Linked DNA regions of Saccharomyces cerevisiae S288C. Changing the gene in region 1 together with any one later gene gives a genetic interaction. Each region holds a gene or a part of one and is shown on either strand. Other genes may lie near its edges.

Region 1 (4,285 bases):
TCAGCGTCCCCACTATTTTTATCAACTTCTTCGGCTTCCTTATCTTGTGTATTTACTGTATCATGGACAGATTGGTGAGTGCCAGGTGCATTTCCTGAATTGTCAAACGTCACCAATGAATCAGGATGGTGAGTAGTAATACTTTCGTTGACGCTAGCATTCGAATTCCTTAACACAAAAAACACAACAATGAGCAGTAAATTAGTTATTACCAAGACTCTCACGTTTCTTTTGTTTATAACAATAGCCATCTCTAATTTTCTTCAGTTGTTTTGCGTTTAATTTGAAAATTTTGCTTCTTTCCAATATATAGGTTTTTTCTTTTATTTGATTCGAGCTTTTTCACTGAGGGGATATGTACACATTGGCAAATATCCTGCCGAAAGTACTTCTTTATTTTTTTTCAAAACGCAGTCCCACTTACCGGTATGACGTAGTCTCGATTCTCAAATACACCCGGGACTGCATATTTATACATCTGTAGTAAAGTCATTTTATATGGATTGTGAAGGAAAAAATTTACATAACTGGAAGATAAATAAACATAACTATGTAAGGAATAGTAATAAGAATGTAGAAAACGCCAATGGAAGTTGTCCAAACTATAGTCCGACCCGTTGCATATTATTTACCGGCAATCGCCTTATCATGAGTAGATTCTAAAAATGCTAATCTATCGGTGATGTAACCACACACTCTTTTCCATTCCGTTTTATCCTGCCCTAAAAGGTCATCGAGATATTTGAAAGGATTCTTATTAACACAAACATATTCGTTTAAAACCTTGAAATTCTCTAGTTCAATATCGTAATTTTTTACCTTTTTTAAGGCCGTATATGAACGAGCAGGTTTACCATTCGTAGTCAAAAAATTGCTTTTAGATAAATCGTATGGGTCAAACTTTGGGAAGTTTGAATGGATGAACATAACATCTACATGATTCTTGGCATTTAAGTCCTCGTTGTCGAAAAATTCTTCGGTGTATTTTTCGAGGGAATAGTTTTTGTCAAACTTGATTGCATCAGCTGATTTAGTGCCACCGTATTTGTTGCCAATGCTCTCCATAGCATTTAAGTAACGGCCATAATCCTGCACAAAGTCGTGTTGTAACATTGCTACACCATGAAACCCGTCTTCATCATGGTAGCCTTCAACGCCTGTCCTTGTTCTAACTTGGTAAAATGATAGACCATAAAAGTTTGCAGCGGCAATGAAAGTTTCCTTATCACCTTCACCAGCAGCTTTTTGAGAAAATATTGGGTAGTACCACGTTGGTCCATTGACGTTGTAGAATAAAGATAGAAGAGCCGTAGCCAAATGCTTCGTTTTGTTTATCATCAGTTGGCCGGATTCCGTAGACACGTCGGGTATTGTTCCGTCTAGGTCACTTAGCGGGACGTCACTCAAATCCTTCAAATCCTTTGTGTAAACAGCAGGTGGGGTGATATCGTCTCGAGAATTGCGAACTCTCTTTTTCTTGTCCACAGCAATACCTGCAATGTCGTAATACAATGGGTGAGTTGTACGCCTCCAGAAATCGGGCCACATGACCAAGCCCGTAGACACATATGGTTCTTCATTGAATATGTTGTCTAGGGGTTTGATGGGGAAGTTGTCAGCATCCAGTAAGAGCAGGTTTTCAAAACTAGAAGCGATAAGGGCCAATGATTTAAACTGGTATCCTTTGAAAACAAATTTTTCAATCGTCTCTCGTGGTAGAATATCTGAAACGTAAATACACTTGGAGTTATACTTAGGCAGAATCTTGTTACAAAACTCAGTTTCACCTTCATCACCAGGAGGGATCAGGACTTCCACAGGTAACGTGGTCCCCATATTCCTTAAAGTCTTAATGATCAAAAATGCCATAAGGGAGAACTTCCCGCCACCCACTGTGGCTATACCGGACCCTTTGTACGTACCCTTTGGCGAGACGAGAGTCGCTATATGCTCTACGTAGTCCTTATGGCTTTTGGTCAGACTTGCTACTTCATCCGGAGATAGTTCCAAACACTTGGACAGCTCCTTAGCAGACAACTTGTAAAGATCTTTGTAGTGGTCGGGACGGTCTCCAATGTCACCCTTTAATAAGCATGCCTCGTTATACTGCTTTGCAGTACTCCCCTTGGGCGAATCAACCATTAGAAAGTTGAAAACGTTGTTGTAGAAGCTTTTCAACTTTTCATTGCCTGCCTCATCATTGTCCCTCAATGGGGTTGAATCGTCAGCGCTGGCGGCGTCTGAGGAAGATGAATACTTATTGGAGTAACTCTGGACATATCTGTCTAAGTACTCCTTGTACTCCTTGACCGACGTGTTCTCATCCATGTATTTGTTTGTAATGACGAACAGCCCGCACAATATCAAAACTATGAACGTCAGCTTGAACAGCTTTGAAAACCTTTTGGTAAGCAGCATACTGAAAATATAATTTTACTGACCTACCTACACTGATTTGTCTCGAAGTAGATATGATACCTTGAGCAGCACGAGGATATTAAAAAGTAGGGCAATTCTGCTTTTAACGTATAAGCAACACCAAGTACACGTAATTTATTTTGATGATTCTTCTATATTTTTTTTTTCTTCATTGTTATTTTTTCACTATCTTTTTCATCCCTCCGCAAAAGGACGCGATCCTTTTTTAGCACGTGAACGGTAATAACGGGTCCTGGACGATGTATTAGAGTCACCTAATCACCAAGCGAGCCAATGGCGACTCACTTGACTTGCATGTTTGCATAACCTATTTAGCGAACCCTCCAACTTCTGAGCGCACCAGCTTAACTTGTGCGCTAAGCTGCCTTGCCCGACATAGTGCCATCGCTCATTCCACCTCACACCTGATTAACTAAAAGTTTTAAAACTACGGGACTGCGAAAAAGTAGAGCTACGTTACTGCAGACCTACAATAATTGCACACATCGGCCTGATAACGAATGCTTCTAAAATTCTACTGTGCTACTATCGGCTGGTCGCGCCCGACGGGTTCGCTCAGCCGCTCTGCGCCCTCTTACTCTTCAGCCATTCTGCTGCGGCCGAAGCTATAAAAGTATGTCAATTTGGCTTTTTCCAAAATCCCCCTCTGGCTCTTTCTCTTCTCAAGACAAGCATTGAAGAGACTCACTAGTAAGCTTAAGATAGTCCTACACACAACCACCATGTCTGCTAACGATTACTACGGCGGAACCGCCGGCGAGAAGAGCCAATATTCCCGTCCCTCCAACCCGCCACCTTCATCCGCTCATCAGAACAAAACTCAGGAGCGTGGATACCCACCCCAACAACAGCAGCAGTACTACCAGCAGCAGCAGCAGCATCCCGGATACTATAACCAACAAGGATACAATCAGCAAGGGTACAATCAGCAAGGGTACAATCAGCAGGGCTACAATCAGCAGGGATATAACCAGCAGGGATATAACCAACAAGGCCATCAACAACCAGTCTACGTCCAACAACAACCACCCCAGAGGGGTAACGAAGGTTGTCTGGCTGCATGTCTGGCTGCATTATGTATATGCTGCACCATGGATATGCTATTCTAAGAGAACCCGCAAAAGTATTCAAGAATGAAAAAAAAAAAAAGAATAATCTCCCCTTCTGTTCTTTGCAGTTGCCTTTCTTCCCCTCAGTGTTATTTTTTTTCACAAGGAGATAAAAAAAAAAACTTTAACATGTCACTTTAAGCATGTATGTAATACGTCTATTAATTATATGTAACTTTTATAACTATTTTCATTTCTATGTGATCCATTTGCAGTTATGCACCTTTTTTTTTTTTCCGAATTGTGCTATGTATATATCACTAGTAATAATGTACCAAACTATACAAACACGTAGGATACAGTAAAAAAAATTTTAGCTGGTGAACTGTTGTAAGAAGGAGATTTCATCGGGCGTGAAATTTATTGCAGAAATTTGGGCAGAATGGTTCATCAAAAAGGTGTAGATCTCTTGCGCAAAAACATTCGCCTCTACATTGCTTGAAAGGCCCGTAACAATTTTATGAATGGTATCATTACTCATTGTGACCTCCGTGCTGGTCAAATTGATAATTTTCAGGAAACCCATGTACGCGCTACTCTTTTCCTCTACATCGTCCAATGCGTTAACGGACAAACACCATTTATTCCAGTTGGAATCATTGGCAAATGCGCCAGAACTGAAAACTTCAGGGTGTGTTAGCCCCATTTTTCCGATGGTCACAGACAAGTTCTCCATCACAGAGCTGTCTACGATTTGTGTGTTGGTGGTAAATAAATCTAGAATGATTCTAGACATA
Region 2 (3,854 bases), on another chromosome or scaffold:
TTGCTTATTTTAGGAGCTTCTGTATTGACATCATTTTCAGCAGTAATAATTTCATTGTCTTCAAAAAGTTCAAGTAATTGTTTTGGAGCCTTACTTTCCAGCCTCTTAGATGATGTCATTGGACCGGCCGTATGTGTTCCAGAGGTGTTTGTAGTTCCAGCTACCATTTTGGAAGGGTATTTTGAGTTCGTATAGTTATTTGTTACTGGTGCATTCAAAGTAGAATTTTGAGCTATTGTACCAGGATAGCCCTTTCCTATCGTTGTCCCTTGATAAACAAAGGGTCTAGTATTATGACTTGTAGGGTCAAAGTAATAAGAATCTTCGTCAGGGTATGCATAGTTGAACAGGTCATGTTGGGCAGTAGCCCACTCGTTGTTGTCCTCAGCCAAAGCATCGAGGTTGATATTATTTTCAATAATATAATCCGACGAACTCAATGAATCAAAATCCCATTTCATTTCCACATCGCCTTCGTTCACTCTCTTAATTTCATTATCATTTGATGCTATTGACTTTTGTGCTTCATCACCCCCGCCATTTTGTGATGGTTTTGGAGCTTCACTGGGTTTTGATGGCTCATTTTCCGGTATACTGCCCTCTATTTTATATTTGTTTTTATTCTTGTCCCTAAATAGTAGATATCGTGATATTAGTTCTTTCAAAATGGACGTTGGCGTCGCCTTGTGGGCCCTGATAAATTTTGATTTTAAAAGATCGTCTGCTGACAATCTCTCCTTTGGATCCTCATCAAGACAAAGCGCAATAAATTCTTTCAAAGATGTACTGTATGATCTGTCCTCAAGCCTCGGTGGTTTCGATTTGATGATTAGTTGCATTGCCCTTAGGGCCTCCACATCGCAGTATGGCGGATTTCCGGTGGCAATCTCGTACGTTGTAATACCTAAAGACCATATATCTACTTTAGTGTCGTAATAAACGCCTTCCATGATCACTTCTGGAGCCATCCAGTAGGGGGTCCCAGCCATAGTTTGACGTCGTAAAGAAGTTTGGTTTACTTGTGCAGCGACACCAAAATCGCATAGTTTAACATTACCTTCGTTAGTGATCAGAACGTTTGCTGCTTTGATATCTCGATGAATGACGTTATCTTTATGAATGCATTTTAATGCTACAAGCAGTTCTCTCATAATAACCCCAATGTACTTTTCATCGATTTTGCCTGGCCTTAACAACGAACGCAGTGAACCACCAGCGCAGTGTTCCATTATGATCCAAAGGCTTGTGTCTTTCAAATACGACCCATAATACCGCGTGATATTGGAAATCTGTTTCAAGGAGGCCAAAAACTGAATTTCTCGCTGCACATCCTCCACCTCGTCAGAATCAGAATCTAAATTTAAGACTTTGATAGCATACACTCGTCCAGTCTTCACGTTATAGCCCTTATAAACCACACCAAATTTCCCTCGCCCAATAACTTCCGTTCTCTTGAAAAGTGAACTCACATCCATCTCTCCTTCGGCTAAACCCTGCTTACTATTTTGTGGCTTCGTCGTCATTACTGCCTGTTCTCTATACGTGTTTTGCTTGCCAGTCGATGGCGCCCAAATTTATACTTTTTGTTTCTTTATCTGTGTACTGTTAAAAGTAGTACTGTTAAAAGTAGTAAGCTCCTTAGAAAGCGGTTCCGCCTAATAGTTCCTAACTTGTTGTATGTGGCTTCACGTAGGACGAGTTGCCTCTGTTCTTCTTTGACTTTTGCCACGTCGGCAAGCTGCTGCTCTTGTTGATGCCTTTAAAGATTGTCAGATCGGCCTGAGATCGACGTGTGGCATGATAATGTTGCTCGATGGGCTGTAAATAGATAAGAAAGAGTGAAACGAATAGAGTAACGAGGCCACAGATGTGGCGAAACCTGGGAGGATATGTTCTAACGTTATCTAGAGTTCTGATAGAGCATTGTATGCGATAGTACCGCTGACATATGTGCATTCTTTAATTATATCGATGATATCATGCAACACGGGTTAGCTCTGTAGTAATGTAAACCTCTCTTAACTACGGCCAAGAATATCAGCAGCGGAGGTTAAGTTGCAGGTTATACCTATCTGTTTTGTAGTTAGGAAACGTAGGCGCATACTAATTAGGAGTAGCAAGGCAAGATGCAAACTGTGTTGAAATATTTGTTGCTTATTATGTGTGGAAGCTTTTGTGCTTCGGAGGAATTGCAAAACCAGACCAATGTTCCTGCAATATTCTTCTCTTACAAACTGTATGTAGAACAAGAAACATTAATCTTTAGTAACTTTCATTTTTCTTACTAACTAGATGTTATACACATATTTGTACTTTTGGATAGAACTCCCGGTATTTTAAAGTATCAAGAGGATTATGATAGGGCTGTGACTTTACCAAGAGACACCTTTATTGAAGCGGCTGAGAAATTCTTAGGTGTATGTAATGCTGACACTTATGTGTTTATTAATCAACCAGGCCTGAGGAAATTGGACTTCTTGGAATTTGAAACAGAGTTTGTTTCGTTACAGAGATATATAAGACGGAGTTCAACCGCGATTAAGTTCGAAAAGGTAGACCTATTGCCTCAAGATTTATACTATGATCTTGCAGAGTTTGTAAAGGAGTATTGTAACGTAGACCAGGTGTTGAACTTACGAGGTAATAATACAGAAGATTTCCAGCCCTTTATTGATAGCGAAAAAAGAGTGATTATAATAGAGTACCCTAAGTTACCAGAGGACACTAATGAACGTAAAGAAGCATTCCGCCATTATGACAAGTATTTGAGGACTATACTGGCGCAGATTCCGTCGCCAGAACAAAATGTCATTTACACCTCGTTAAACCCAGGAACTACGCTGGCTCACGAGTCGATCATCCCTATCCAAATATTTCCAGATATCTTTGACATAAAATCCAGAGTGGGTGAAGTGGAACAAAATAATAGAGTTTTGGATGTGCCTCGTCTGTCGTTTAATGACTATACTCCACGATTTTCAGAGCCACCTTCGGAGTATGTCTCAATATTTGATTCACAATTAATTGAGAATAACAGAGGTTTATTACAGCTGATTTTCACAATTTTGGTTGGGTATATTCTTATTCAGTTTTTTTTCACAAAAAAAACTATTGTAGATGAGAAGATTACTAATAAAAAGGACAACGTGAAACAGACGTCACCACAACTGCTCAAAAAAGTGCAAGAGATCCAGAAAAAGCCATCCCAGCAAGTATCTTGATTATGGTTCGTTATATACATCGATTCTTTGCAAAATTATCCATGAGAGACTTCGCGCCATGCTACAATTTACCAATGCGCATCGAGAAATTTATGCTATCGCATTTAATATGATATAATTATCCGTCTGTTTATATATATATATATATGGGGCCAAACTGAAAGGCGGCAGTTACATTACATCGTCTCCTCTACCTAGTCATGAACATCAGTGGCACCTTAAATACGCTCCGGTTGCTTTATAACCCATCACTGTGTAAGCCTAGTCTAGTTGTCCCCACTTTTAACGATCTTCCTATACCAATCCACGATTCTATAAAGGCCGTGGTCTTGGATAAGGACAACTGCATCGCCTTCCCTCATGATGACAAAATATGGCCAGATTACTTGCAACACTGGGAAACCTTAAGGTCGAAATACTCTAACAAAGCACTCTTGATTGTTAGCAATACCGCCGGTTCCAATTCTGATAAGGACTATTCGCAAGCAAAACTTTTGGAAGATAAGACAGGTATACCTGTTTTGCGGCACTCTACAAAGAAACCAGGTTGTCACAACGAAATATTAGATTATTTTTATAGAAACAAAACCATAACAAATCCAAAAGAGGTTGCTGTTGTTGGAGATAGGCTTT

The links. A genetic interaction does not mean that the proteins touch.
Region 2: mutations in MNN2 (region 1) and BIG1 together harm fitness more than expected from each alone (negative genetic interaction), as found in Saccharomyces cerevisiae (3 studies listed by BioGRID).

Annotation. Positions count from the first base shown.
Region 1 is NC_001134.8:267,086-271,370, forward strand, and holds MNN2 (alpha-1,2-mannosyltransferase MNN2), read right to left. Parts: upstream 2,419-4,285; coding exon 625-2,418; downstream 1-624. Other genes in the region: glutathione-disulfide reductase GRX7, read right to left, coding at 1-251; cysteine-rich palmitoylated domain-containing protein CPP1, read left to right, coding at 3,162-3,548; KAP104 (Kap104p), read right to left, coding at 3,862-4,285. UniProt on the Saccharomyces cerevisiae protein: Alpha-1,2-mannosyltransferase, responsible for addition of the first alpha-1,2-linked mannose to form the branches on the mannan backbone of oligosaccharides.
Region 2 is NC_001140.6:314,241-318,094, reverse strand, and holds BIG1 (Big1p), read left to right. Parts: upstream 1-2,126; coding exon 2,127-2,236; intron 2,237-2,323; coding exon 2,324-3,221; downstream 3,222-3,854. Other genes in the region: putative serine/threonine protein kinase KIC1, read right to left, coding at 1-1,523; GEP4 (phosphatidylglycerophosphatase), read left to right, coding at 3,422-3,854. UniProt on the Saccharomyces cerevisiae protein: Required for normal beta-1,6-glucan synthesis.